3 linked regions of the Alligator mississippiensis genome follow. The protein of the gene in region 1 interacts with the protein of each later gene in a pairwise test. Links are inferred from orthologs where the notes say so. Each region holds a gene or a part of one and is shown on either strand. Other genes may lie near its edges. The genes, in order: CEP126, HMOX2 and YAE1.

Region 1 (10,356 bases):
TAACACAGAACTAAATATATTAACACTTTAGTTTAATTAGATTGTGCTAGGTCTTGATATATGTTACCATTTGAACATGAACTGAGTGGATCAGGTTGGTTAAAAAATAGTTAATCTGCATCTTAATCATTTTAAATGTGTTTACCTTGAAAATGAAACTACTGTATTGTTGTACCAGCAGTGCTGAAGAAGCACTTCCAGAATATGTAGGTTTCTGGTTTTAACTTAAAAATGATAACTACACACTGTGGTTTTAAAAAAAAAAAAAAAGGTCTGAGACTATGTGTCTATAAAAAGTAATTCATCTGTGCTATGTTGAAATTTTTTTAGAGGCCAGTAATAGATTTTAGAGATCTCTCAAGCTCAGTTTGACATATCTCTAGGAATAAAGCGAATGAGAGTGGGCCAACTTTTAAAATAGTTTAAGAAAAAAAGTATTTTCCCTTTGCTATATGGTCATAGTATATGTAAAAACCTGAAAAACAGGAAAAAATGAACACTTAAAAGCATGAAGCCTTAATTATAAGCTCTATAAAAATTTCACACCCAAAAAGTACCTGGATTTGGAAACTGAATCTTACATGAGAGTTGTGGATGCTCATCTAAGTCAACGGCAGCTTGGAATATTCAGTATCACCCAAAATGAGACCTTCAATTGTTATAAATGGTTTCACAGCATCTCTATATGACACTGAAAGACACCAATAACTTTTTTGTTCGTATTTTAGTCAAGCACGTGGAAGTGTGCTAGCTGCCTGCAGAAACCATGTGGTGCCTCCTTCCATGCTGTATGAATCATGATTCAAGCTCAGGATGAGTCATCCCTCTGGTGGGCAATCATTACTTAGACAGTGATGACAGGAGACCAATTCCTCCCTAATACCAGCCTTAAAACCAGCAGGTCAGAGACTACTCTGATCCTAGTACCTGGCCTTGACGCTGGCCCCTGCTCTTCTGGTAACTGTGTCAGATTCCAACTTTGGGTTTCCTCCCAATTGTAACCCTCAGCTTCTGACCCGGGGATCATTCTTCACTCTGATCCTGGCCAAGTGTGACCTGTGACTTCCTAACCCTGGCTTCTGGACCTTGGCCTGTCCCTGATCATGATTTCAGCACCTGGATTCAAGCTGTAGCCCTGGATTCAGCTCACATCCCAATCCTGACACGTGCACACAGGTGAAAAAGGAACGAGTCAGATCCTTGAGTCTGCCATTCCTCATTCCATGCAGCATGGCCGAGTGGAACTCACAGAGAAGTACTGCAACACGATGAAGGGCCATAGCAGATTAATTCCCTGGCAAAAACAGAAAAGTGGCCTGCTCTTGTAGGGCAGGGCAGGGCAACAAACCTATAATCTAGCTCAATGGTTCTCAACATTTTAGACTTGAGGCTCCTCTCACTATAGTCAAGACTCCCATTGGAAAATGTCAGCTCTTAGTTTGCATTTGATTTTAGACTGCAGAAAAATAATAGAGCAATTCTCCTGTTGCTAAGAACTCAGAAAGACCACAAAAGGTCAGAATGCTTTTAACGCAGCGGGTTCCTATTTAAAATCTCTAGGTTTATCTTGTGAATCATGTTTTACACACCTAATACTGCTAACATTGTACTGAATCCCACCCAGCTGTGAAGCTTGGGTGACCTACAGGGAACACCTGAAAAGCCTGGAGTGCTATCACCAGTGGGAGATCCTTGGCATAAAGTAGGAGGATCATCACACCAGTGTCCTCACCGATGACAATGCCACCAGTATGGACGTGTTGATTATTCAACATCAGTTGTGGTGGGCAGGGCACTGTGTGCGCATGTCTGATGTACGTTCGCTGAAACAACTGCTATGCTTCCTACTCAGGCAAGGACAAAGGACACATGGGGGCCAGAGGAAATGCTTCAAGGACACCCTCAAGGCAAACATTAAGAAGGGTGGCATTGACACCACAAATTGGGAAAAACTAGCCTGGGACAGGTCTATGTGGCTTACTTTGAGGAAAACCATCTTGCCCTGGAGACAGATAAACAACAGAAATGGAAGGAAAGGAAACAAGACCAAGAAATCCATGGTTTGACCCTCCTTGTAACCACCGCCTGTGGCATTTGCCAGTCTGTGACTCTAGGGATCTTAGCCAAACTGACTTATCTACAATCCTTTAGTTGATCCATGGGAGTGGTCATCCTCAATCCTGACGGATCATCGCTGTAAATCCCACAGGACACCTGAAAGGATCTCAAGGCACTCTAGGGTGCCTTGATCTAGCCCATGAATGATTAGGAATTGATCTTTACTCTTCACTCAGGCAAAACACCCAATGCCCTGTTTCAGACTAAGAAACATTGAAAAATAAAGCTCATCAATTAACAACAGTTCAATAATCAGTTGGCAGTCATTCAAGATATGCTTGTCAGTACATATGCATTACAAAGACATTCAGTCACAAATGTACTTTAATTATCTGATATTTCTAACGTATTACATGTAAAAGACAAGTTAATGAAAACATCATTAACATTACAAAATAAAACACTAAGAGGTTAGGAAATTCCAGGATTAAAGGAAAGATGATTCATTTTGCCTGTATTCATGACTGGAGCCACAATCCCTGGCTGGGTTTTTATGGAAACAGGAATAGAGCCTCTCTCGACAAATGTTAAGTTGCTGATAAAAAGTCTGAGACACTTTTCCTCAAACAGTCAGAAAAATGGTTTAGCAGTTTTAACACTGTTTTCCCTTAACTTCATTCTAAAACAAAGATGAATCATTTTTGTTGAAAGCAAATAAATAAATCTGAGAAAGAACACACAAATGAAAGTATTTAACCTGTATGATTAGGGGTTGGTAAAGTTGAAGTTCTAAGCAATCAAAAACAAGTTAAAAAGAGAAGTGCTATCTATTTTAATGACACCAGTTGCCATCAGCATCCCATTATTAACAATCGTTGAAATTGTTTATTTTGAAAGAAACAAAACTAATTGTAAAATGTACGATCCTTCAGTTTTAACAATTAGAACCTAATAAAATCTGTCAAGTTTGATATGATCAGATTATATCAACCGAATCTTTACCAGGTCACAAAAACCTTGGACGCAGGTGTTGCGGTAGGCGTAGTCTTTCTAGACTTTAGGAAGGCCTTCAACACTGTCTCTCACTCCACTCTCATTAAAAAATGAGGAGATTGTGGTGTCGATGCCTAGTCAGATGGGTCACCAATTGGCTGGAGGGCCGCACCCACAGAGTGGTGGTGGACGGGTCATTTTTGACCTGGAGGGATGTGGGCAGTGGGGTCCCCCAGGGCTCAGTCCTCGGGCCCGCACTGTTCAACATCTTCATCAGCAACTTGGACAAGGGGGTGAAAAGCACCTTGTTCAAATTTGCAGATGACACTAAGATGTGGGGAGAAGTCAGCACACTAGAAAGGAGGTACAGGCTGCAATTGGACCTGGACAGGTTACAGGAGTGGGCGGATGAGAATAAGATGGGATTCAATACTGAAAAGTGCAGGGTACTGTACCCAAGGAGAAAGAATCAGCAGCACACCTACAGGCTGGGGAACTCCCTTCTCATCAGCACAGAGGCAGAAAAGGATCTTGGAGTCATTATAGACTCCAAGATGAACATGGGCCGCCAATGTGGGGATGCAGTCGGGAAGGCTAACCACACCTTGTCATGCATCTACAGATGCATCATGAGCAGGTCCAAGGAGGTGATCCTCCCCCTCTATGCGACACTGGTCAGGCCCCAGTTGGAGTACTGCGTTCAGTTCTGGGTGCTGCACTTCAGGAGGGATGCGGACAGCATCAAGAAGGTCCAGAGGAGGGCCACTCACATGATCAGGGGGCAGCAGGGCAGGCCCTACGAGAGGTTAAGGGACCTGAACCTGGTCAGCCTCCACAAGAGAAGGCTGAGAGGGGATCTGGTGGCCGTCTATAAACTGGCCAAGGGAGACCAGCAGGCAATGGGAGAGTCCCTGTTCCCCTGAGCACTACTGGGAGTAACAAGGAATAACAGCCATAAATTGATGGAGAGCAGATTCAGGCTAGATATCAGGAGGTGCTACTTCACAGTCAGGGCGACTAGGATCTGGAACCAACTTCCAAGGGAAGTGGTGCTTGCCCCTACCCTGGGGGTCTTCAAAAGGAGGCTGGATAATCACCTAGCCGGCGTCATTTGACCCCAGCATTTTTTCTTGCCCATGGCAGGGGGTTGGACTTGATGATCTGCTCAGGTCCCTTCCGACCCTACAACTATGAAACTATCTTGTAGGCTCCTTTCATAAAAGTGAGCAATGAAGCAAACACTATTATTTCTTACAAGGTAGCCCCTACATTAAAATCTTGTGGCGACTTGTCCCTCATCACTTACAGTAGGGATGTCAAACTCACCCTGCCCTGCAGACCAGATGACTGGCATAGGACTGGTCCGCAGGACATATTTGTCCCAGGTACCCCATCCCTCTCCCCCAGTATACCCAATCTGGTGATTGCTCCAGCCTGTCTGGGACCCATACTGCATGCTGCACAGATTTTGGAGTGACTGGAATGGGCGCTGCATGCAGTGCAGTCTGGCTGAAATGACACACAGTGGCCACCCCAGCCAGACTGCACCACACGCAGTACCCACTTCAGCTGGTCAGGGACCTGCCCTGCATGTACACACCAGGATCCACGCTGCACACAGTATAGGTCCGAGACTAGCTGAAGCAACTTCCAGATCAGGTATGTTGGGGTAAGGGGAGAGGGTCCCATGCCACGTCCTGTATCGGTCTGATCAGACCCAGGGGACATCACCAGGGACCAGACAGCCAGAATATGCTGCAGACCAGATCCAGCCCACAGACTATGTCTAACATCCTTGGTTCAGTACACCAGTTATTACTAGATGATCTGGGTCATTTCCCTATTCTTTTTGTGTTGCTGGAAAGCTGAGAGTAGCCTGCTTCCTGTCCCTAAAGAAGGGGTGGGCAAACTGCGGCCCATGGGCCAGATGCGGCCCACCAGGCTATTCTATCCGGCCTGTGGGGCACCTAAAAATTTAAAAAGTTAATATTTATCTGCCCCTGGCTGCCTGTCATGTGGCCCTCAATGCCTTGCCAAAACTCACTAAGTGGCCCTCTGCCCAAAATCATTCCCACCCCTGCCCTAAAGGAATCCCAAGAACTACTTCAGTTCCTCAGAGACCTCAGCTGGCAGCTCCTCCTTTAAGCGGTCAACAGGGGCATATATGTGGCGTGCTTTAGGGACACCCCTGACACTTCTGCCAAAAGAGGCAGACACTGGCACACGCCTACCTCCAGTACCCCAGGTTGCAGTCCCTTTTCTGCTTCCACTAAAACCTCCTGCTATGGCTGCTCTTCTTCCCGCACATTCTCTGTTATATCCTCCCCATCCATAGCCCCACCAAGCTCCAGGACCTCCTGGCCAACCCTCCTTCTGGCTCTGGTTAAGCTGGCCATCGAGCAGACCATGAAGGAGGCTCTGACCATGGGGAACCTGGATGAGCGTGAGGTTGTCTGTCTTCCTCTCACTCCTTCACACACATCTCCACGAGGAGTTTTGCTAGTTGGTGTCTGCAGGCTCCGTTGTCTCTTTCAGGGGGCAGTGGGTGCTGGACAGTGCACTCTGCTCCAGGTCCCCTTCTGGATCCCTGCTTCTGAAACTGCAACCTTGCTCCCAACCCGCCTTCTTTTTGTTTGTTTAGTTATTTTCTCCATGGCCTTTCAGGGGTGCACAATCCCATGAAAGTAGTAAACAGGCCTGTCCCTAAATAATGGAGCTATAGCAGCAGCGGTTCACCTCGCACTCCTCTGCACCCAAAGCCCAAAGACACGGCTCCCTATCCACGCCAACCAAGACACAGCTCCCTAATCACGCCAACCAAGACACGGCCCCCCCATCCATGACAACCCATCCCCACCAACCAAGACAAGGCCCCCCATCCATGCCAACCCATCCTCGCCAACCAAGACACAGCTCCCCATTTATGCCAAATGACACGGCTCCCTATCCACGCCAACCACTACATAAACTGGGGGGCACGAATACGTTTTTGGCCTGCTGGGAATGGCAGCCAGGATCCCTGGGGGCTCCTAGGGTCGCAAGGAGCTCAAGAGAGGATCCGATCCACCTTTCGGGCGGGCCGCCGCTCCCACTCCCTTCCCCCGCCCGACCTGCTGCTCTGCCTCGTGCCCCCGCGCGCCCCGGGCCCGCCATCCCTCTGTCCCCGGCGCTGCGCCAGGCAGGAGCCCCGCGCCCAGCTCGCTCCCCCAGCACTTGCCCGCCGCCCCACCGCGCATGCGCGGCTGCCGCGCCCGGCCCCAGGCCCCGCCCCTGGTTCCCGTTGCGAAGGCAGCGGCGTCGCCTGTTGCCGGGATGGCGATGGCGGCGGCGGCCGGCGCAGGGGCCTGCGCCCTTGGGGCGCCCGCCGGGCCGGCAGTGCGGACGGGGAAGGCAGCGACCGCTCGCGGGTGATGAAGCCCAGCAGGAGCCTCGCAGCGGAGGCCCAATGCGGCCCCTCCGCCGCCCACGCGTATCCTCTGCGGGCCGGGGGAATGGGGCGGGCTCGGGGGGAGGGGGTTCCCCGGGGGGCAAGCGGCTGCACGGGACTGGCCGTCGGGGCAGGGGCAGGGCCCTGCTCGACCTCCAACAGGTGCTCCTAATCCCTGCGCAGGTTGCAGCCAGGCCGAGTCCCCTTTCTCCCACAGGCCAAGCCATACCCCCACTCGGGGCACCCACCAGATCCGGCCCCCAGGCAGAGCGGGCGCTGCCCATCCGGCCCTGGGCGCTGCTGCGCTCCTTACTGCTTAAAACGGAGGGACTGTTCAGTTCCCCCGCTGGAATATTGTTGCGTGTTGTAGGTAGTACTGAGCTCACGGGGGTATAGCACTGGGCCAGGCCAGTGAGGGCCACATCTTCACAGGGTGACCTGGCTTCCTGCCCTGGTAGGTGAGGCTGGGAGGATTCACGCCTTGCAGACCCCTGGCGATGTTCACAGAGTTACTCTCTGTACAGTAGAGAACTGAAGAAGCTTGGGGACTTTTAGAGGACGGTTGTAGCTGCGACGGTCCGGGAATTACGCTGGCCGTGCTGGAGAAATACTTTGCTGTTGCTGTACTGCTAATGCGTACCCACGTGTGGTGGCGGTGACATGCAGCTCAGGTGCTGGCATGTCTCAGCATTTGTATTGCTGAGCTCTGAACGGGATTAGATGGCAGGATATGCTCTTTGTATGTACCCTTTGCTTGTCCCGATGCTGCTGCGTGCACTTGTTTAGTACTACCAAATATGCCTGATTTAAAAAGCTTATATTTGTTTCCCTACTCTAATCTCTCTAGTCCTGGGACTTTTAATATAACCTTTGTTGTAGTGTTGGATCATAAGGACATTGTGTGATTTTTACATTATAGTTTATTTGCTCTTGTTGTTTCTATTGTGAACAAGATTCAGAAAAACTCTTCATTCCTGACCCAAGTGTTTCATTATCTAGAATGTAAAGATGAGATTAAACAGTAAGAGGTATATAGACATGTCTGTTCAGACGCACTGTAATTACAGCAGATTAATCAAATCTACTAGAGTGGGCTAATTAGCATGCTCCAGCAGCCTTGGCATCTCATGTATTGAGTGTCTTCGCTCTTCAAAATGGTGGCATGGGGCACTTTAACTAAATGATAAGTGTAAAGCCCCAGCAACTTGTTACGGTCATAGAAGCTGAGAGATGGAATTACACTCTTTATGCGTGTACATTGTGATAATACCTTTTCTATATCCACATTCTGTTGCTCATGAATACAATTTACTTCTCAAAAAGGTACGTAATAAAGCACCAGTCCTTCAATGAAATCCATGCAAACAGAAAGAATCCTATTTTTAGTCTATACCTGAGAATTACAGCTTGTTTTTTAATCAGTCTAGTACATAGTAAGAATAATGACTAGGAGTTTCCAAGATTTTAGCTACAACTTCCTTAACTAAATATTAATAGAACCGTAATGTTTCATCTTGGAAGAGATTTAGAAGAAGAGCGTCAAGCATTACTGGAGGATCAAAAAATATATCGAAGTCGGGCACGAAAATATTTTATAGAGACAAATAGAAGAAGAAGGTAACCTCATCTTAATAACTTATGGACTTAAATAATAGCACTGCTTCATTCCAAGGGAATCCAGAGTTTAAGGGTTCATTAATTTTGGTTGCTATAGGACATCCAAAATATAAAAAGAACTGTGTGAGTACAGTCCAGAGTTGCTCATTATTTTAAAAACCCATAGTAGCTAGCTTTGTTTATCACAATTTACTTGTGGGTCTGATTTTCATTCCTTGTGTTCCCAATGAGTGGGAGCTTTGGGTAGGCAACAAATACGGGATTGAGCCCTTTTTATACCGAAATAGGTAGTAATGAAGGCCTCTTGAGAGAATATTTGAAAAGGTGCTTATGAATATTCTACTATTTCACCATAATGTTTCAATTATATATCTTGAATCATTCATTTAAGTGCCACAGTACTAAATGGCATAGGTGATTTATGTGATGCTGTGTGAAATACTGAGTTCTGTCAGTAATTCATAAGGGAAATGGTAGATATAGCTTAAAAAAATAAGCTGTATTCTTGAACACAAAGTTATTTGACAGAGTCGCAGTTTCTTTAAATGTCATCATTACACATTGTGTAAGTGATTGAGGTCAAATATTTAAAAATGTAAAGAAAAACTGCAAAGGTCGTAGAGCTGGCTATGAGTGGTCAAACAGATAATCTGAGCAGTGACCTTTGGGAAAGAATAATAAACTAAACCTCAATTGAAAGATAAGACACCAATTTAGTTTTCTGTTACAGTACTGCTGCTGCAGCTGTGCAGTTTAGTAATTTGATAAACAGCATAATCTCATCCTTTTCATAGACATTTCATAGACATTAGGGCTGGAAGGGACCTCGGAAGATCATCGAGTCCAGCCCCCCGCCCAAAGGGCAGGAAGTCAGCTGGGGTCATAGGATCCCAGCAAGATAAGTATCCAGTTTCATCTTGAAGGTGTTCAATGAAGGCGCTTGAACGACCTCCGGTGGCAGGCTGTTCCAGACCTTGGGGGCTCTGACAGTAAAGAAATTCTTCCTTATGTCCAGCCTGAAACGATCTTGTAGTAGTTTGTGACCATTCGACCTCGTCATCCCTTGGGGCGCTCTGGTGAACAAACATTCCCCCAGATACTGGTGATCACCCCTGATAAACTTGTAGGTGGCCATCAGATCACCCCTGAGCCTGCGCTTTTCCAGGCTAAAGAGCCCCAGGGCTCTCAGCCTGTCATCGTAGGGTCTGCTTCCCTGACCTCTGATCATGCACGTGGCTCTTCTCTGGACTCTCTCAAGCTTCTCCACATCCTTTTTGAATTGTGGAGCCCAAAACTGGATGCAGTACTCCAGCTGCGGCCTCACTAAGGCCGAGTACAGGGGGAGAATGACGACCCGGGATTTGCTTGAGAAGCATCTATGGATGCAAGCTAGCGTTTTGGTCGCTTTACTAGCCGCAGCATCGCATTGCAGGCTCATGTTCATCTTGTGGTCAATGATGACCCCCAAGTCTCTTTCTTCCATAGTGCTAGCCAACATAGCACTGCCGAGCCTATAAGGATGCTGCAGGTTTTTTTTCCCAAGGTGGAGAACCTTGCATTTATCGGCGTTGAACACCATCAGATTCTCTTCCGCCCACTTGCTGAGCCTGTCCAGGTCAGCCTGGATCATCCGCCTGTCTTCTGGTGTGGATGCTTTGCCCCAAAGTTTGGTGTCATCTGCGAACTTGGCCAGTCCGCTTCTGACTCCAGTGTCCACATCATTAATGAAGATGTTGAACGGTATGGGTCCAAGGACAGAGCCCTGGGGGACCCCACTGGTCACAGGACACCACGATGAGTGACTTCCATCAATTACTACCCTCTGGGTCCGACCCTGGAGCCAATTTTCCAGCCAGTGGATCGTGGAGGACCCAAGGCGACAATTGGCCAGTTTCTCCAAGAGACGATCATGGGACACCAGATCGAAGGCTTTTTTGAAGTCAAGATATATGACATCAATCTCATCTCCCTTGTCCAGGTGATAGGTCACCTGGTCGTAGAAGGAAATGAGATTGGTCAAGCAAGACCTACCCGCAACAAACCCATGCTGGCTATCCCTTAAGATGTTGGCGTCGGCCAGTCCATTAAGGATGGCCTCTTTAATAAACTTTTCTAAGATCTTCCCTGGGATAGAAGTCAGGCTGATGGGCCTATAGTTAGCCGGATCCACTTTCCTCCCTTTCTTGAAGATAGGCACCACATTGGCCTTCTTCCAGTCTTCGGGCACTACACCAGAGCACCAAGAGTTTTCAAAGATCCGC
Region 2 (10,509 bases), on another chromosome or scaffold:
AGCTTACATACACACAACAGTTAACAGGAAGATAAATGCAATAAGCAGATAATACAGTATAAAAGAGCTAATAGTAAATAATAACAACAGATAACAACAACAAATAGATAGATCAATCTGTTGCAGGCCAACTGGGCACTGTGAGGGTATTAGCCACACTGGGCTGTTCACAACAACAAATAGACAGACATGGTGTCCCAGGGGTGCTGGGGTTACAGGAGAACCCCAGGCCAAAATAGAAGAAAGCCCCAACTTACCATCTACAGGGGCCGAAAGGAGTGGGGAAGCATGCGCGGAGAAACCGCCCACGCGGTTTGTCAACCGTGCTCATATCCAGCTGGGGCCGGGTGACGTCAGCTGGAGACACCACCCAGCAGAAACAAAAGGCTGCCCCGAGGGCACAGGAAAAATGCCGGTGAGCAGAGGCTCCACGGAGAAGTCCACAGCCCAAAAGGCACAGCTGCTGTGTTGCGCAGCTCGGGATGATGGGGGCAGAGCCAGCAGAGAAGCCAGCAGAGAAGCCAGGAGCGGAGCCGGTGGAGGCGCCAGCAGAGAAGCTGGCAGAGAAGCCGGTAGCGGAGCCGGCAGTGGAGGCACCGGCAAAGAAGCCAGCAGAGGAGCCAACTGGCAAGCCGGCAGGGAAGCCGACTGGCAAGCCGGCAGAGGAGCTGGCAGGGAAGCCAACTGGCTAGCCAGCAGAGGAGCTGACAGAGAGGCCGGCAGAAGAGCCGGCAGGGAAGCTGACAAAAGGAGCAGCGGTGAGTGGGGAGAGAAGAGGAGACGAGTGCCGGGGAAGTCGGAGCAACTACAGGGAAGCCAGAAGAAGAGGTAATGAGGGCGGAGCCAATGGGAACCCCAACTGGGATAGCCGCTGAGTGAGCGGTGGAAGACCCCAAGCAGGGACGGTTAACGGAGTAAGGGAGCCAACAGATGGGTCCACAGCATCCCCAAGAAGAGTTGGCCAGGACCCATAGGACCTTGGTCAACCGGGACGCCATCCCCGGAGTAGGATCTGTTGCTGCCGTGCACTGCAGCGAGGGGTCCGGGGCCTTAGGGGCCCAGCAGGTGGGTACTTGTGACGCTTGGAGTGGAATTAGGCACGGACGCTTATCGGTTGCAAAGCAAGATTGTTTACTTACGCTGTCAAGGTGGTGAATGACGGAGGTCAGAGATACTTAGTTAGTTACAGCTTAGAGTTCATTAGGTCGGTCTGCAGATATATACGGGCCGGTGGTCGGCAGATTATGGCTTATCAAGCATGCAGGTGAAGGGTACGCCTAGGAGGTCGCAGCAGGGAGATTGATGAATGATCAGCTCATCAATTTACTCTGTGACGTGTTCAGAGGTCTCCGATTTTGCTGAAGTGCAAGCGGGTTTTATTTGTGTAATAGCCAAGTGTTTTTCGCCACGTCATAAATTTAATTAGAATCGCCAATTATATAACGATCTCCTCTAGGGTTTTGTTGCAGGGCTACTCCCTGTTTTACTCTGACCAGTTATAATGATTTATGTACAGCACAGAAGGCTAAAGTTTAATTTCTTATTAGTGGCGCAGCTATAAATCTCTTGTTGGCATGCACAGCGAAGAAGGCTGTTACCAACAAGAATTTCTTTTTTAACCCTTAGTTGACTCCAGTGCAGAGTGAAAATGCTTTGAATGGTATCTCTTGCTAGTGGCATGGACACTGCTTAATTGGGTTGTGACAGGGTCAAGCGCAGGGGAGAGATAGGAGCCCCGAGTGGGGCAAGCAACCGGGTCTGGGGCACTGAGGCACTGGGAAAACACAGGGCCCGTAGACTAAGGGGCACTCTATATTCCTTTGTGGCCTCCTGGCCCGCCGGTCACAGCTCTTCGGCAGTCATGGTGGTGGGGATCGCACGTTGCGTCACGGTGTGGTTGGAATAGGGAGCTGGGGACACAGGATAGCCAAATCTAGGACCAAGGGCCTCAGAGCTTTCACGCCTGAGCTGCAGCCCAGGGACACTGGGGCTCATGGCTGGAGAGCCACGGAAGGCTGGGGAAGAAACCGAGAGGAACCAGGGACGCCAAAGGGCCAGAAGACCTGCAACCAAAGGTGGCAAGTGGCCGGGGTGTAGGGGAGGTCGGAGCCCTGTGAATGCCCGCTGAGAGGCGTGACGACCCTGGAGGCTGCCTCAAAGGGGAACCCCTCCACTGAGGTTCCATTCAAAGTCGTGGCAGGCAAGTTAAGGGGATCCCCGGACGTCAGCCGGGGTAGCCTTTGGGGTCCACTCGCAGGCCTGGGACAGACAAGATTGATGGTCCGGGCTAAGGCTGCAAGAGAACACCTGATAGAGCAGAGGCGGGCACACATGGGTTGGCAACTTATCGACAGTCCCTCAATGCCAGGTGCGTGCCAAGTGATTCCAGCGAAGTCAGGCGTCCCTGACGATTGACGCTGTTAGAGGGATTACCGGGGAAGGTCCCTTGATCAGGATCCAATCCTCACTCACACCGGGCGTCTGGGGTCTGAGCATGGAACAGAAATGACCGTTCTGTTCCCTCCTTCCTGCTAGTTACCTGATGCATGTGCTTTTTATACCTAGTCTTATATTAATCTGTTGGCCTCAGGGCCATTCACAATGTCGCCCTATAGCTGTTACCCTATGGGATTGAAAGGTGTTAAAATTATCATAAAAGGTTACTACCCAGACTCGGGTTTATCCAATAAGCAAATTATGATGCAGCACCTTTAGGTTTGAAACTGACATCACTCCGCCTAAATCCCAACCCCTTTTAGGCTTCATTTGAATATACTTTCTTGGGATATGCTTTCTTGGAACGTGTTGGGTGTGCAAAGCAGTTAGATCCAGTTTTTATTGCTAAGGCTGAACCCTGAGCAAAAAACCGTTAGGCCAGCTAATCTCACAGCTACAGCTTTGCCTATGGGGCCCAGTCAGTTCCATGAACAGTTAATTTATCATTTTGGTTAAACTTATGACAGACAAGTTACATTTGCAGTTTACAAACTTACAAGCTTATATTAACTAATATTACCTGTTTAGGCAAAATACCAAATGCCTCCAAGCACATATTATTGCTATTAATCCCTCTGGTTCTGGCTGTCACAGGCAGTTAGTCATAAAATGACATAGCCAGTCTAAGACAGTTGAATTGACATGAGTGAATTGTTCGGGATGGATGTTATCCAGGCCCAGTGCTTTCAGACATTTAGTAGCCTTTTTAGTTCATAAACGTTGACCCAATTATCAAAATTCAAGTAATCTAACCAGTAAGGGCAACCAGATGGCAGTGTGCACCAAACTCTACTGCCAGAGTACTTACTGGCAGAGCTGTGTGAAACTGCACCATTTCATTTTGACTTCCATTTTGCTGTTTCATTTCATTTCGAAGGTACTGTTCCACTTTGTTTCGTTGAAATTGTTTCGCTGTTTTGATGTTTCGCCCATAGGCTATAATGGGGAAGGCTCGAACAGCCTACAACTTTGTCATTTCTGGCCTGATTTGGATGAAACCTGCAGGGATGGTAACCCGTTTTGAAGCCGGCCAAGTTTCAAGGAGATAGGTGCAGGGATTTCTGGGAAACTGCACCTCAACGTCTTGAAAGCAAGACTTCTATCACGTGTGTGTGTTCAGGCACAGCAAGGTGAAAACTGCAGGCATGGTAGCCCCTGCTGAGGGCACGGAGCCTGCCAAGTTTCAAGGAGAAGGGTGCAGGGGCTTCTGGGAAACTGCACCTCAAGCCGCTGACAAGCAAAACCTGTGACTTGTGACTGTGCGTGTGTGTTAAGGTGCAGCTGTTTTTCTGTCCCTCCCCCAGAGCACTGGGATTGGAAGGGACCTCAGGGAAGGATCACAGTCACTGGTCAGCTACATAGTCAATATCAGAGCAGTCCTTCCCTCTTCCCCCTCCCACTCCTTAGTTTCTGTTTCCCTGCAAGCAAGCCTAGCTTTGAAACTTGAAACATTTCAAGTGCCCTCGTTTTGTTTCAAGGCTGTTTCGAAGACTTTCATTTCAATTTTGCTATTTTGAGCTTGAAAAAAGTCGAAACAGCGTTGAAACGAAACAATCAGTGAAATTTCCCACAGCCCTACTGGCAATGAGTGATAAAGATGATAAGCCCAGGAGGGGAGTGAGCAGTGAAAGGAGATTCTGCCTGTTTATTCTGGTGGCCCTCTGTACAGCTCCTGTGACTACTCAGTGTCACTTACTACTGGCTCCTGCTTGGAAGGTTATCTTTACTGCAAGGGCTGCAAATGAACATTTTTCTTCTAGTGAAAATTTAGAGGAAATGTGATTGGATAATCTGTTTTGAGTGGATGCGTGGGTTTCACTGGGCGTCATTATTATGAAGCACTGAGTTTTAATAAAAAAGGCTTTTTTTATTTAGAAATTCACAAATCAACTTTATTTAAAAACCTTAACTTCAGATCATTATACCAAGGAGCTGGCATTTATTTGCTCAATGCTTTAAATGTCAACCACATTGACATTTATAGCATTCTTGGTCTGTGAACTCCTAAGAAATGGAATGAAGCTGTTTCTGTATCTAATGTATGAGGGCATGAGGCATGGGGAGTGTGCCAGTCCTATTTCCAATGTCACTCCTATCTGCCAGGAAATTTTCCAGAACTTTTAAGTCCTATCTCTTCCCTACCAAAAGGGACACTGTGCGCTTGCTCTTCCTACTTGCAGAAGGCAGACCATCACCCTGTCTCACCATTACAGGGTGACTGGCAGTGTCTCAGAACTGAGCTGCACAAATCAAATTACCGCTTTACTTCTGTTTTGTGATAGACAGCAGAAGAAGTGGAGGATTTGCTCAGCCTACCTTTGATGATTCCTTTCTCCAGCTTTCCTTAGTTTCTAGGTTTTGAACTGGACTTGGAGGGCACAGGACACTCTTGGAGGGTTAACTGCCATGCTCTGCATTTACAGGAAAACTGTGGCAGGCAGGCACACTGTTCCCATGCCCAGGGTAGGTGCTCCAATCAGTCTGTGTTCACAGGGTTTTTTCATGCAGCTCATCAGAGCAGCAACTTGGTCCTGAGGGAGCAACATGTAACCCAGAATAAGAAATACCACAGAACCCAGCTGGTGTCACTCAGACAGTGTGTGTACAAGATAGCAAAAAAGCAAATCCTGGTCTGTGTCCAAGTCGACCCTGTGTTTGTCCAGGAATAAAAAAAATCTCTTGGGATGGTTGGGACACACATCACCCTTCTAACCAGGGTTTGGTGAGCCGCTGACTGCACTGCTGCTTTTCGGCCATTGATTCAATGCTGTTATCCTGGGATAAACTCTGACCAACTCTTATCTCCTGGGGAACCTTTTTTAGGATTTATCCCAGGACAACAGAGACAACCGTCTGCCTGGCCATGTCACTTTGTCCTGAGATAAAATGGTTTCTCCCTGGATTAACGCCACGTGTGCTTGCGTCTGTAAAGGGCAGAAACGGGAGAAGTGGGCCCAGCAGGGACTTCGTCCCCCGCACTTTATCAACTGGTTTCGGTCCGTGTGAGGGCAAGGCCCCTCGGGCCGGGACTTGGCGCTCCGCCCCCAGCGGGCGGGGAGGTGGTGGCGCGCGCTGAGGGAGCACGTGCACTGGCACGTGGATGAGACGGGGGTGAGGCTCTACGGCCCGGGGTCATCGTCAGGACCCGGTTCTGTTGCGTCACGGCTCCAGCTACCAATGGGAGGCCTCGTCGGCGCAGCCATTTTATTTACTCACGAGTTCGCTGCGGCTTCGCCCCTTCGCGATAACTAATCGCGGCGGTGACTGGCGCGTGTCCCGCCTCTTCCGGCCGCGCTGGGGGCGGTGGCGCTTGCGCTAGCGGCGGTGAGTGCTGCGGAGGCTCAGGGGAGCCGGGGCCGGGGCCGGGGCCGGGGCCGGGGCCGCACGACCCGCGGGTTGGGCGCGGGGCGGGGGCTGCCGCTCTTCCAGGAGCCGGCGCGGCCGGGCGCCGTGTAGCCGCCCCGTGGTCCGCTCCGACCGTCCCGGCGGGGGCCCCAGTGCTGCGGCCGGTCCCTTTGCAGCGCCCGCGGCTCGGCTCGGCCCGGCGCTGCCGGCTGTGCCGGGCCTCGGGCCTGGTCCCAGCTCTTCCCTTCCCCTGCCCTTCAGCCTGGAGCTGGCCGTGTCCGGCCGGCCGGCCGGCTCCTCTGCGCCTTCGCTGTGATTGCTCGAACATGTGTAATGACTTTATAGCTGGTTTCTCTCCAGCTTCGGCGCAGGCCCTGCCAGCTCCCAGCTGCTGGGCAGCCCGCGCAGCACAGCACGGTGCAGCCAACGTGGTCCCCGAGCTGCGGGGGTGCGGGGTGCTCCAGGTAGCAGCTGGGAGACTGTAGCTCCCGCGATCTCCCCGCCATTGTGACCCCCCAGCTGTGGGGCACCAGGGCTGCAGCTGACGGGGCTCTTAGTCCCGGCTGCACCCCACATGCAACTGTACTGAGAGCCCCATCAGACCTAGGACTCTCAGTCCCAGCTGTGTGGGGTCCCTGTAGCTGGGAGCCCCATCAGCAAAGCGGACTCCCAGCCATGGAAGCCTGCTTTGTACTGATGTTGGAGGAGCCCAGGATCCAGTTGTCCCTATACCAGCAATAAGGTGTGATTGGATCTAATGTGCGATGCACTATGGGGTGGATCCTGCATTAGATCCAGTTGTGTCTATACCTGCATGTGTAGTGGGGCCCTGTTTCCCCATTTTTTATTCCAAACATGAGGAGTTGGCCAGCCTCACTGGTGGTCATGCATGGCCTACTCATTGATCATTATTGTTTAAAGAACTCCAGTTGGCCTGCCGGTGAAATCAGAAGTCTAACTTTTTTTTTTACCTGCCACTGAAATTTGGGCCTCTTCTTATTGTGCGGGTGCTTGATTGTAGCTGTTACGATGACTGTCATTACTGCTGTCCATACAAAGCTCTTGTATTAGCATGAATATGTTAAAAGACAGCCAACCTGTGGCTACACTACGAGTGAGAGCCCATTTTTGTGAACTGTTCTTTGTGCATATTGTATTGGAACTTTTATTCCCCTTTCCTTGTTGAGAACTGACACTTATCACTGGGTCCAGTTCAGTGTTAACTTGTGTACTGCAGCATAAAATGGATTTGAATGCATATAAGGTTTCTTGCTACATGACAGCAGAGATGTGGGTTTTCCAGAAAATTTTGAATTGGAAAATTTCCAATGCCCTAAATAGAGTGTGATCTGATTTAGCATGTTTATTTGACGTGTATTTAGTAAACAAAACTAAAAAAGTACCCCATTTTAATTTTATGTCCCAATAGCCACAAGTATTTAAACTGAAATATTTGATTAAGAAAAGAATTGAATATAGTGCACTTAATATGGTTTAAATGTTATATTCAAACAAATTCAAAGCTTCATGTAGAAAGAAATTATTTTTATTGCAATACTAGCAACAATGTAAAGACAATACACAATAGCATGTGCTTCCCTGACATTGTTTGTTTAAATTTAAGGAAAAAAGGCATTGAAAACTGTTGACACACTAATTTGAGCACACCCAAAGAACTGTGCATGATATGCTGTGCTGTGGTTTTGATTTGACCTGCACAGCTGATTAGGTGAATTCATACCTTGATTTTTGGTTTGGCTTATGTGAGTGTATTTACCCTCCTGTTTACAAATCAATTAAACATGTATGTACTCTCTCTCACACTTCCTGGGGATAATCGCCTGAAAAACATTAATTACATCTTTGAAACTGCTAAGCTTGCCTAATATTGTATTGGCATCCATTCATTGTTACTAATGAATTTTATGAAACAATGAATTTTTAGAAATGGAAAGTTTTCCATGGTAAAATAAAGCACTGGAAAATTTTCTGCCCCACATCTCTGCGTGGCAGAGCTTCAAATTGGAGAACTGACAAGTAAGGAACTGTGTTCCATGGGAGAAGATTATTAGGAATTTCTAAATGTTGCGGGGGGAAAGTTGTTGCAGTAATTTCTCTTTGGGGAAAATAGGGTGATTTCCTGTGCTGTCTTCTAGCTAAGATTATCAAGGCTTTGGATGAGGGGGTGGGAGGGTGTAAAGGTGGACTTAGTCCATGGAAGTGAACTCGGTGAAGGAAGAGCAGAAGCCAAGTCCTCATCTACTGAATCACTGACCCCTTCACTTCCTTCATAATGGGAGATGATAAAATAGCATGGACTAAAAGTAAAAAATAAGAAACAATACCTTTGTCAGCTCCAGTTGGTACACTTGGGTCTCTCTTTATGCGAGCGTTGCATTCCAAAAATACCTTGCATAAAGCGAATCCATTATTACATATAATTAATAGGGATACGTACCAGCCTCACTCTACTGCTCCCCCAAAACATAACCAATTCAAACAGTAATCACCAGGGCCGTCCCCAGGGAGGTGGGAATCGGAGTGAGTGCCCCGGGCCCGCACTTTGGGGGGGCCCTGTGGCATGGGGCAGAGCAGCAGCAGCACAGAGCCGGGTGGAGCGGCACAGAGCCAAGCATCCAGCTGCTTGCTGCCTTCCGCCACAATGGGGCTGTGTGGAAAAGGTGCTTGCCCCATGCTGCAAGCACCCCCAAGCTGGACAGCAACCTCAGGCCTGCCCAGCTCACTCCCTACAGGGGCCTCAATCCCCCTCTTCCCCACTTACCTGCTGGAGCTGCCCTCAAGACTAGGGGCCATGTGCATGTACTTCCAGTGTCCAAAGTAGGCGGATACATTTTTTTTTTTTTTTTACGTGCACATGGCGCCCCCTGTCTCCCCTCCCTCCTGCTTCCTTCCAGCTCTGCAGGATGGGACTGCTCATTGCCAGCTGACTTCGCATAATATTGGATTTTTCTCACAAAGCAAATTTCTGGTATAAATAAGGTTGTCGCATATAAGTGAATTTGCACAAAACGAATTCACATAAAGAGAGACCCAAGTGTACTTTCTTTTTTCTTCAGGGACTTGGCTGAGATTTGCAGCTAATTGAAGCAAATTCTGAGAATGACTCAGATGCAGCTATAAGGTAGAAATAAATACCAGTAACACCACTGAGGGCCTTTGTCCTCTTGTGGTGATGCAAATGGATGACAAGAACTATACCCACTGCTGTTGGGGTTGAACTTGCTGTCACTGATTCACCTGCTGGTGACATCTAAGTCTGATGTCATACAAAGAATAAAGAAGTTTAGGTTTGAAATTGTTGAGCCTAAAAAATAAAACATCCCCCCACTTGTCAGAATCTGTTTAGCAACACAAGTGCCCAGGAGCATATTTCTTCCATGCTCCTCTTTGCTCGTATGCTTTCGAACAGTGGGGTTAGATCTGAGTTTTGGTCCTCTGTGGGATTGGCCAAAGTTACCAGAGGCTCAAAACAGTAATCCTGTTATTTGGCCATACAGCAAATGTTCAGTTCCTGCTCTGACACATTTGCTGTATGGCCTTTGGCAAATCACTAACCTGTTTGTTCCTTTTAGACCATTAGAATACTTGCTTATTTCCGAGAACTGTTGGAAGGAGTAATTAAATTGGCCTGATTTAGTGGTGTATTGGTGTGAGAAGAACTGCTTAGACACTAGAGGCACTACCAGCTTTCTGACTGGTCACATGATGACTCATTTGTTTTTTATCTTTCTGTGTAAATAGGAAAGAGGAATGTGTTCACTGTGAAACTGAACCATTTGGGTCAGGGGCAACGGTGCACTAGATATGTATTTAGTTTTCTAACCATGGTAATCCATTAACAAGGTACAAACAGTGCCTGACTTTCTTATACCTGCCTTATTTCTGGAAATTGCTTGAGACCGAGCAACAGTGGTGTTGCTGTAATGAGACTGATTAGTACAGCAGCTAGTGATAGGTCTTGTCAAATTTCTAATATTCCAGTGCATTATTATTGGCAAGGACTGCTTGAACAGTGGTGAGTTCTGTTGACAAACTTTATGATCTAGCAGCAATATCAGCTACTTTTCTAATGTAAATGGCTAAAACTAGTTATGTCTGAGAGTTTAGATTCCTCAGTGGGCTTCAGTGTTTTGGTTTTTAATCAAACCAAAGGATTCACTTGAACCAATTACAAAATGATCTGCACTGCTTATGATTAAAGTGTCATAGGGTCTCTTACTTCCTTGCATTTGAACATTTTTGTGGGAGATTATTATTAGACAAGTACATAATAATTAATAATGTTGATAATGAAGATGATATAGCAAGATTCTAGCTGCCATGCTTGAGTGACTGATCCCTCATGGTTTTACTAGGGAAAGTTTTCTCACATTCATGTTTTGTTTTTTGTTTTCTCTCCTTTCAACACTTTTTTTTCATCAAAGAATTTCTGTCCTTGTCTTACATCTAGAGAAAATAGAGCCAATCATTTTCTACAGATCCTGTAACCATAACCTCTATTCAGATAGGTAATCTCATACACTGATCATAGTTAACTGGCCCCTGTCCAGCTAGATGCTTATTTCACTAGCTTTCCTGAGCAACTTGGGCTAATTTAATTTAGGATGCTGTAGACTTACTATTACCCATATACATTGTGGTCTCAAG
Region 3 (9,662 bases), on another chromosome or scaffold:
CTTACTACAGCATAGCATAACTACAGCTTAGCCTAACTGGAATTCCTACTGTACTTATTTAGCACTTTCCATTCTATAACCAAAGTATGCTTTACAATCACTAAAAGTCTGACAATACCCCAGTAAGCTGCTACTAATTTTATATGTTTGTGAACTGAGGCACAAGAGTAAGTGACTTGCATTGGTGATCTATATTAGAGGTCAGCAACCTATGGGCGGTAAGCTGGATCCAGTCCACACAGCAGGAGTAGGCAACTTTTTTGGCCGGAGTGCCAAAAACCCTGCAATATCTACCTTGTAAGGTACTGGAGTACTGGCATGCCAGGAAAACAAAACCAGGGTGGGGGAAACGTGGCAGGACACACTGAATATTAATACAGTTAATCATAGATTCATAGATTGTAAGGCCAGAAGGGACCTCGGAAAATCATTGGGTCCAGCCCCCTGCACCAAGCAGGAAAGATAACTGGGGGTCAAGTGACCCCAGCAAGGTGACTGTCCAGTCTCGTCTTGAAGATTTCCAAGGAAGGTGATTGCACCACCTCAGGAGGGAGCTTATTCCACAGTCTGGACACCCTGACTATGAAGAAGTTTTTCGTAATGTTGAGTCTGAATTGATCTTCCAGGAGTTTGTGGCCATCATTCCTGGTTTTCGCCTCCAATGCCCTGGTGAAGTTGCTCACCGAGCCCTTGATGATGTACTCCCCTAATGTAGTGGTGAACTGCTACCAGGTGCTCTCTCAGTCTTCTTTTTCTCAGGCCGAAGAGTCCCAAATCCCTCAGCCTTTCCTCATATGGCTTGCTTTTTAAGACTCTTCTTTGGACTCTCTTAAGCTTGTCCACATATCATCATAGATGTTGTTTGTTTTTTACAGTAAATGCCAGGTTTTCTAAAAATTCTATACCTGGTGACAATATATAAAACTTCATATACTACCTTTGTTGTTGTGTATTCTTTTTTTAAACATATTGTGATGAGAGAGAAAAAGAGAGAGAGGAAGAAAAAAGAGGGGGGAGAGAAAAGAGAAACCTGCTAATATTGTGGCAGGGGGCAGAGTAGGCCCTTGGTCACAGGGTCCTACCCCACTCCTACCAACACTACTCCTGTCTTCTGTTCCTTCACCCACTGTACCTTGGCCTTAAATGGTAGGAAGAACAGAGAGAGACAGGGGTTGACACCTGATTGTCCTTGGCCTTTACAGTGAGGCTTGGAAGATCACATCCTGGGTCTTCATATGCCACCCCTACACCATGCCCATACTCTCCAAAGAGATGTTGCCATGGAAAACGTTGGTTCTTTAAGGATACACTTACTTAATTCCTTAAAATAGATGCTCTGTATTCACTGCCATAAACAAGCAAAAATGCTCTCAAGTAAAAAGCTTTTCTTAGTGGCTGCCTTGGCCCTGCTTCTGACAGCTGAGTTTGGTGATGTTAGGCTGGTAGCTGGTTGTTAAACACAAACATGTATCCAAATGGTCAGTCATCAGATGGTTTCTCATAGGACCGAGTATGGTTTTCATTTGTGAAAACACGTGTTCACACCGATAAGTAGATCCAAAGACAGACAGCAAGGCAAAAGCTACTTATTTATTCATGCATACTTTTCAGGAAGGGAAGACCAACATAATGTAGTCTTGAGTTACCATTCCCTTTCATTCTCAAATTTACCTTGCAGTGATGTGAACTTCAGTGCCCAGATGCATGAGCTTTGAAAGTCAAGGAGTACCAATTTAAATCCTTCAGTGTTCATCCACTGAAAGTACCGCAGTTCAATATCACTTTCCCTAGTACTGTCCAGGTTCACAAGAAATGAAAATATGAGTCCTCTGTTGCAAAAGTCTTGGAAACATCTGGTGTACACATCTTCCAGCTGTCCTATGTAGTTGCACATATTCCTATTATTCAATTGATGCTGCTCGGAATGGATTTTCAGACTGGGGTAGTAACAGAAGGCAGACGTTTCGATATCTCATCTGAAAACAGACATCTTATCACAGAAAGCTTTCCAGTCGTCAGACAGCTGAAGGATGGTTTTCTGTGTTCCTTGTAACCTAGTATTCAAATAATCTAAATGTGATGTGATGTCTGTCAAAAACATCAGTTTTGTTAGCCACCTGTCATCAGTAAGGTCTGCATATTGCTGACCACTTTTTTCAAGAAATAACTAGGTGGATTCGAGACAAGCAACAAATCGCTTGAGCATGTTACCTCGACTCAACCAGTGTACATTACTGTGCAGCACTAAATCTCCATATGCAGAATCCACATCATTTAAAAGTTCACGGAATCCCCTGTGTGTCAAAGAGGAGCGGGCAATCAAAAAGCTGACATTTTCACACCACTGTCATGATTTCATTTAAATCAGAAGATGAAATCTTAGCGCACAGGCTCTCCTGATGAATAATACAATGGAAACTTATAAGAGGATGTCCAATCTAAGTTTCCAGAAGCTTTACAAATCCAACTGCTTTACCCACCATAGCAGGTGCACCATCAGTGGTAACAGAGAACACTTTGTGCAGGTCAGTTTGTTGCAGTGTGAAAATAACTTTGACAACATTAAGTATAACATTGGTCTTTGTTGTGCTTTGCATAGCATGCAAAGAAAACAATTCCTCCCAACTTCCCCAGAGACAAAATATCAAACAATTATAGCAAGATGCCGGATATCGTTTATAGACATAAACTTTCACCCAGTGCAAGGCTCATCGCATCACAAGCATGGAGGTCTCGAGTCACTTGTTCCCTAACATTAGTTGCCATTTCATCTATTTTAGCCTTTGAACAGTCCTGGATGACAGCGGCATTTCACCAGTATGAGCAATGATGTCTTATTGGCAAAATCCTCAGCACGTTTTAAGAAAGAATCCTTTAAGTTGTCTCCATCTGTAAAACACTTGCCTTTCCAAACTTTGTTTTTTTACTATCCATAGTTATATATTGATATGCCTTCTACCTGTAAAATTTCCTGAAGTTCACACAAACCGAAGGCAGCACAAACAATTTAAACAGGCAAACAGAAAGGAGAAAATCAGAAAGAACTGAATTATTTGAAGTACATGTAAATCTGGGTAAGTATTTCCAAGAAGGCAATCGAAGTGCAGAAAACACACACACACAAATGAGCAATATGTAGTGTTTAAATCAAGGAACGCAAAGCAGAGAGATCAAGATAAACAGAATACAAACAGTTTTAATAAAGTAAAAACCTGAAAAATATGAACTGGTTTAAGAGAATGAAAAACTGAATAAGAAATTATTTTCAGAGCAAAATAAACTGATTCATGTGAAGTGGCTTGAGAGAGAGCAAAAGCTGTATATAAGTCCATTTAACAGAGCAAAATAAGCTGATTCATGTGCAGAGAGAGCAAAAGCTGAATATGAATCAAAATAACAGAGCAAAATAAACTGATTCATGTGAACTGACTTGAGAGAGCAGAAACTGAATATGAATCCATTTAACAGAGCAAAATAAAGCTGATTCGTGTGCAGAGAGAGCAAAAGCTGAATATGAATCCGTTGAATAGAACAAAACAAACTAAACAGTACAAACTGGCTTGAGCGAGAGCAAAAACTAAGTCTGCAATAATTTAACAAAGCAAAATAAAATGGCATAATATGCAATCTTAAACTCTGTTTGCAGAATTGTTTTTTGTAAAAATATATGTCTATATGTATATGAGGTTATACATATCTATACTCCGAGTATCACTCCACAAAGAAAACCTTAACCCGTTACAAAAACCACACACATACAAAGGACCGTTGGCCACCTGGACCTATTACAATATCTGCCTTGCACGCTACACACACACATATACACAAACTGGTCTCTCAGACCAGGCAACCCCTTCCTTTCATCCCCACAGAAATCAGCACTAGTAGCAACAGGCTACTGAGTGAACTGCCGCCCAGAGCCACGTGCCTACCTCATATAACTGGAGGCTGGGTGCAGCTGGGGGCAGGGTCCCTGCACCCCCTAGCAAGTAACTTCATGCCACTCTCTTCTTTTTTTCTAAATAAACATCTCTCTCACAAGGCTGTTGTATATTGCCAATTAGTTTGAATAGTAAACTGAACATGTAAAGCGTTAAGTGTTGTTAAATGCTGATTCGTAAGGATGTTGTTTCATGAAGGTGATAAAACACTGGTGAGAGACAATGGCCACCTTTTACCCCTTTTTTTTAAAGCATAACATACTGTTGACATCAATGACAGATCATACTCCTAGCAACCAATATATAATAATTTAGCTATTTTGCCTGTCTCTAATCAACCTACTGTAGCATAAACAAGCAGATGTGAAGTATGCTACCACTGTTTCCTGATCTCACTGTCTCTGATTCTGGTAAGATGCTATCAACACCACCAGCTTTGTGACTCGTTCTTATGACAATCCAAAACTTTTCCTGGAATCTCTCTTTTCTACTTGGCAAGAATTGCATACATCTAGCCAAATTAGAAAGCTAATTTCTGAAAAACCGAATGCTTCTTTAGGCTTGCGCTTTTACAGTGCTTGTAAAATACTTGATTTGGGAGTTGTAATTCTTCCCACAAGTAACTTCCTTTCTTGTCACCTTCCTTACAGGAAGGCTACAGAGATGGAGTTGAGGCTGGAAAAGAATGTGCACTCCAGCAGGGCTTCAATCAGGGATACAGAGAAGGGGCCAAGATGATGAGGACCTGTGGCCAGTTCAAAGGAATTCTAAAGTAAGTTTTGAGACCATGATCTCTTTTTGAAATTCTAGCTGTACTATTATTCCAGTGCTAAGTGGTTTGGCACTTGGGTCAGTGAAAGACCCAAGTGCCAAACTCTCTCAGGTTGTGCTTAAAAGTTGGGCAGCACAACCTGAGAGAAATCTAGACTTCTGTGCTAGGCACCTAGGTGCTCCCTATACAATGCATGTAGAGACGTTGGCATCTCAGTATGTGATCCAAAACGGCCAGCATGCTCCAGCTGTCTAGAGGTAGCAAAGAAGAGACACTGAAGACAGGGAGAAAATCTAAAATCCCACCTTTTGGGGTTAGGTCAGAACTGCACGGAGGCTGCTATTCACTCGGGATCCATAGCGGGTAGACTTTCCTAAAAAAACCTGCCTACAGCCACTGCCTCTCTTACAAGCGGGGTGCTCACTGCTCGGGGCGGACGAGTGTCTGTCCCGCCTCCTCCCAGCTGTCCTGAGGGCACGTCACATCCGCCCCCTTCTGCCCCGCCTCTGAGTCTCCCGGCCCGGGGCGGGTGCGGAGAGCACAGACGGGGACAAGGGACCCGCCGGGTCGTGGTAGACGGCGCGTCCAGGCGGAGGGCGGCGCAGGAGCCGCGCGATGCTGCCCCAGCCCCTCCCCCCGAGGCGCGCATGCAGCTGCCTCAGGCCCGGGGCTCTGAAGACAGCGCCCCCGTTCGCAGCCTGCCCAGCAAGCTGCAGGCAGGGACGCCTTCTCCCGAGCCAGGCCGGGGTTCAACAGCCACTCCAGCACTTGTCCCGCCCTCTCTCCCAGGCCCCGCCCTGCGCGGCGCTACATGCGGGAGGGTGCCTGCTTCCCCCTGGGGGCGGGGCTGGACTGGGAGATGCCGCCCTCCCCGTGCGGCTGGGCCCAGCCCACTCCCGGCCCCGCCCGCGGAAGAGGCGGGGCCGCGAGCGCCTGAGCCGTCCCCACGTGAGTGCTAAGGCGCGCGCGCACCTCGGAGCAGGGGGCGGGGCCGGAGGCATAGGCCCCGCCCCCTTTGCGTGCTGTTTCCGACGGCCCGGGAAGAGGGGCGGGGTTTGAGCGCGGCCCCCTCCTTCCTGAAGGACCCAGCGAGCCGCCGGGCCCCGCTTGATACCACCGCCAGGAAACTGCTTGGGGTAAAACTCCTCGTTAGGAGCCGAGCACCCAGTCCCGCCGCTATTCAGTTAAATATAACTGTCCAGCACCGTGAAGTCAATCGGTCTACTTATTGCACACAAAGTTAAGGACACCAGTCTTGGCAGGATTAGAGCTTGAGGTTGTGTTTTGGTCCCCAAAACGGGCACAAATAGTATTGAGGACTCGGGTGTTGTTTCAGAGGAGCTGGAGACGGGGTAAGTGCTGGCAAAAGCCAACAAATTGAGATGCACAACGTAGTTTTCTTTGACACAATCTGCCTTGCTTCCTTTGACAGACATTGCCTGGCATCTTGATGCAATGTGAAAGTAAACCTGAAATTGGGATTACTGGTTTCTGAGGTTAGCTTTCCTCAAAAACCTGCCCTTCCTGCCTGGGGTTCTGACTTAGTGCTGGGGTGGAAGCTCTGTTTGGCATCTGACTGTACCTGTGGTGTTCCTAGGAGCTCCTGCTACCATGTCCTGGGTACAAGCTGCAGTCAGCAGGCCCAGAGAGGATGTATTCGATGAAGATGCTGATGAGATGCACCTCGTACAAAAAGAGTGGAAGAGCACCATGGAGAAAAGGATCAAGGTAATCTTTATCACCGTCATGATGTTTTCAGTAGCCTTTTAGCCGTTTTCTTTCCTACTGCTTAAATAATGCTTGTTTAAATAAGCAAAAGTGAGAATGGCTGCTTACAAATTAGGCCTGTGCGAAGCAGCAGGTATTCGATTCGGATTCAGCCAATTCAGAGGGACGGTGATTCGAGTTGCTGTCCTGATTCAATTCGGCCGAATTGGATCCAAAGATTGGGCGACAATTCAGAGATTCAACCGTAGACTAAACAGGCAGCAGTCCTCGACCATGCTGGCCACAGCTGCTTCCAGCTGATAAGTCCGTTGTGGTGGGCAGAGGTGGGAAAGAAGGGGCAGGGTGGGGGGCATGTAGATCAGTGCCCCCACAGCAAGGTGGGGATTGGGGTTGGGGCTGGGACTGGAGCTGGGGCTGGGACAAGCTGCCCAGTCGGGGCAGGGGAAGTGCAGGATGTGGGAGTGGCAGCACTTGGAGCAGGAGCTATGCCCTGCTGCTGTTTGCCCAGCCGGGGGGTGGGGGGCATGATGGAGGTGCGGCTCACTCTGGGCAGAAGGCACTGGGAGCAGGGGCTCTGCCTTGCCGCCGCTAGTCCAGCCAGGGGGGCGTGCAATGCAGGTGCAGCTTGCTCCAGGCAGAAGGCACTGGGAGTGGGGGCTATGCCCTCCTGCTGCTCGCCCAGCCGGGGCGGGGAGGCACAGGACCATGCCACTGCACTGCCTCGGACAAGTAGTGTGCAGTGGCAGAAGCTGTTGCAGCCTCCGTGTGCCACCTGGACAAGCCGCAGCTTCACCCCGCCATGCCTCGGCTGGGCAAGCAGCAACAGTGCATTGGGGTGGGCGAGTGGACCCGGATTGAGGAGGGGCCAGCGGCAGGGGCTGTGGGGAATTTTAGGGTTGCTGCAGCCCCCCCCATAGCCCCTACTTCTCTGCGCTCTGTGGGGTGGGCGGAGCCAGGGCTGCACTCTGGACTGAGGCTGGGGCTAGGTGCCAGGAGCACCGCCCAGGCCCTACCTACCCCACAGAGTGCAGCCTGGCAGCAGACAGCTGGAGCTAGCCTCCTGGAGCGCAGCCCGGCCCAGCCTACCCCACGCAGATCCAGGGGCACACGCCCGCTCCCATGCCCTCCCAGACCAATGGTGTCCAGTGGCAGGAGACTCCCGCCCCCTTACCCTGGCTGGACAGCTTGTCCCAGCCCCAATCTCTCCCTCGCTGTGGGGGCGTTGATATGCCCCCCACCCCATGCTCCTTTCCTCCCCCCTCTGCCCATCACAACAGACTTACCAGCTGGAAGCAGCTGTGTCCAGTGTGGTAGAGGACTGCTGCCTGTTTACTCTCCGAATTGGCGCTGGATTGAATCAGAGGCTTCCGATTCAATTTGGACCTTTTAATGGTGTCCTGATTCAATTTGGAGATTTGGCCGCCAAATCAGGCCAGATCTCCTCCGAATCAAATTGGCTACCGCAGTTTCGCACAGCCTTAGTAAAGATCATGATGGTTCAGTTTCTTCTGAGTGACTTGAAAACTGAACAGAATTAATGAAATGATGCCAAGTGGAACATATTTGAGATTCTTTTATTAAGAGACTGTCTGAGTATTCCTGAAAATCCAAAAATTTATAACCACAATCCTGAATGCTTAACTCTACCCCAGATTAAATATTCATACACATTCACTATTCAGTTACAGTTTATAATGATGGACTCTTGCTGCATAATTGTACGTAAATCTATTCCTTCAAATACTCATGGGCTTTCTGCTTACAAATTCCAGTGCATCAACAGACACACACACATGCTTAGTGGCAAAAATATGCAAAATCAGTCATGTGATCATTCACCTTTTTGATAGGGAACACCGTCATAGCAGAATTGTTGCTAAATATCTGCTGCATTCTGTCTTTAAAAAGGTGGGAACCGAGAGGTGTGGTGGGCTTGAAAAGTCTTCTAACCTCGATTTGTAGCTTTGCCACTGACCTTCTTTGTGGCCTTGGGCAAGTAACTTAATCTCACTCTCTCATCTACTTTTATAAAATAATAGACATCTCTCTCACAGGGGTTGTGTATAATGACAATTTATATAGTAAACTGAAAATGTAAAAGGTTAAGTGTTGTAAAATGCTGATTCATAAAGAAGTTGTTTCATGAAGGTGTTAGACACTGGTAATTGAGAGACAAGGCCCACCCTTTACTATTTTTTTTTAAGCATAACATGCTGTTGACATCAATGACAGGTCATACCCGTAGCAACCAATATATAATAATTTAGCTATTTTGCCTGTCTCTAATCAATCTACTGTAGCATAAACAAGCAGATGTGAAGTATGCTACCACTGTTTCCTGATCTCACTGTCTCTGATTCTGGCAAGAGGCTATCCACACTACCAGCTTTGTGACTCATTCTTATGACAATCCAAAACTTTTCCTGGAATCTCTCTTTTCCACTTGGCAAGAATTGCATACATCTAGCCAAATTAGAAAGCTAACTTCTGAAAAACTGAATGCTTCTTATGCTTGTGCTTTCACGGTGCTTGTAAAATACTTGACTTGGAAGTTGTAATTCTTCCCACAAGTAACTTCCTTTCTTGTCACCTTCCTTACAGGAAGGCTACAGAGATGGAGTTGAGGCTGGAAAAGAATGTGCACTCCAGCAGGGCTTCAATCAGGGATACAGAGAAGGGGCCAAGATGATGAGGACCTGTGGCCAGTTCAAAGGAATTCTAAAGTAAGTTTTGAGACCATGATCTCTTTTTGAATTTCTAGCTGTACTATTATTCCAGTTCTAAGTGGTTTGGCGCTTGGGTCAGTGAAAGACAGAAGTGCTTAAAAGTTGGGCAGCACAACTTGAGAGAAATCTAGACTTCTGTGCTAGGCATCTAGGTGCTCCCTATACAATGCATGTAGAGACGTTGGCATCTCAGTATGTGATCCAAAACGGCCAGCATGCTCCAGCTGTCTAGAGGTAGCAAAGAAGAGACACTGAAGACAGGGAGAAAATCTAAAATCCCACCTTTTGGGGTTAGGTCAGAACTGCAGGGAGGCTTTGCCATTCACTTGGGATCCATAGTTGGTATACTTTCCTAAAAAAAAAAACAAAACCCAGGTGTCTATATTTTTTCCTTTCCATAAACTGAGTGGTGATGGTGCCTATGCTCATCACACTGTGTAATGTCCTATTGGACAGAGCACTTGCCCAGGAAGCAGGAGTTCTAGGTCCAAACCC

Evidence for each region.
Region 2: the proteins of CEP126 (region 1) and HMOX2 interact in a two-hybrid assay, tested with the Homo sapiens proteins (2 studies listed by BioGRID and IntAct). The link is inferred for Alligator mississippiensis from reciprocal best matches to the Homo sapiens genes CEP126 and HMOX2.
Region 3: the proteins of CEP126 (region 1) and YAE1 interact in a two-hybrid assay, tested with the Homo sapiens proteins (2 studies listed by BioGRID and IntAct). The link is inferred for Alligator mississippiensis from reciprocal best matches to the Homo sapiens genes CEP126 and YAE1.

What each region holds. Positions count from the first base shown.
Region 1 is NC_081824.1:442,060,658-442,071,013, reverse strand, and holds the start of CEP126 (centrosomal protein of 126 kDa), read left to right. Parts: upstream 1-6,321; 5' UTR 6,322-6,461; coding exon 6,462-6,520; intron 6,521-7,975; coding exon 7,976-8,095; intron 8,096-10,356. UniProt on the Homo sapiens protein: Participates in cytokinesis. Necessary for microtubules and mitotic spindle organization. Involved in primary cilium formation.
Region 2 is NC_081836.1:23,781,619-23,792,127, reverse strand, and holds the start of HMOX2 (heme oxygenase 2), read left to right. Parts: upstream 1-5,711; 5' UTR 5,712-5,820; intron 5,821-10,509.
Region 3 is NC_081828.1:124,881,491-124,891,152, reverse strand, and holds the start of YAE1 (protein YAE1 homolog), read left to right. Parts: upstream 1-5,708; 5' UTR 5,709-5,849; exon of another isoform or gene 5,850-6,065; intron 6,066-6,145; exon of another isoform or gene 6,146-6,209; intron 6,210-6,310; 5' UTR 6,311-6,324; coding exon 6,325-6,441; intron 6,442-9,042; coding exon 9,043-9,164; intron 9,165-9,662. UniProt on the Homo sapiens protein: The complex LTO1:YAE1 functions as a target specific adapter that probably recruits apo-ABCE1 to the cytosolic iron-sulfur protein assembly (CIA) complex machinery. May be required for biogenesis of the large ribosomal subunit and initiation of translation.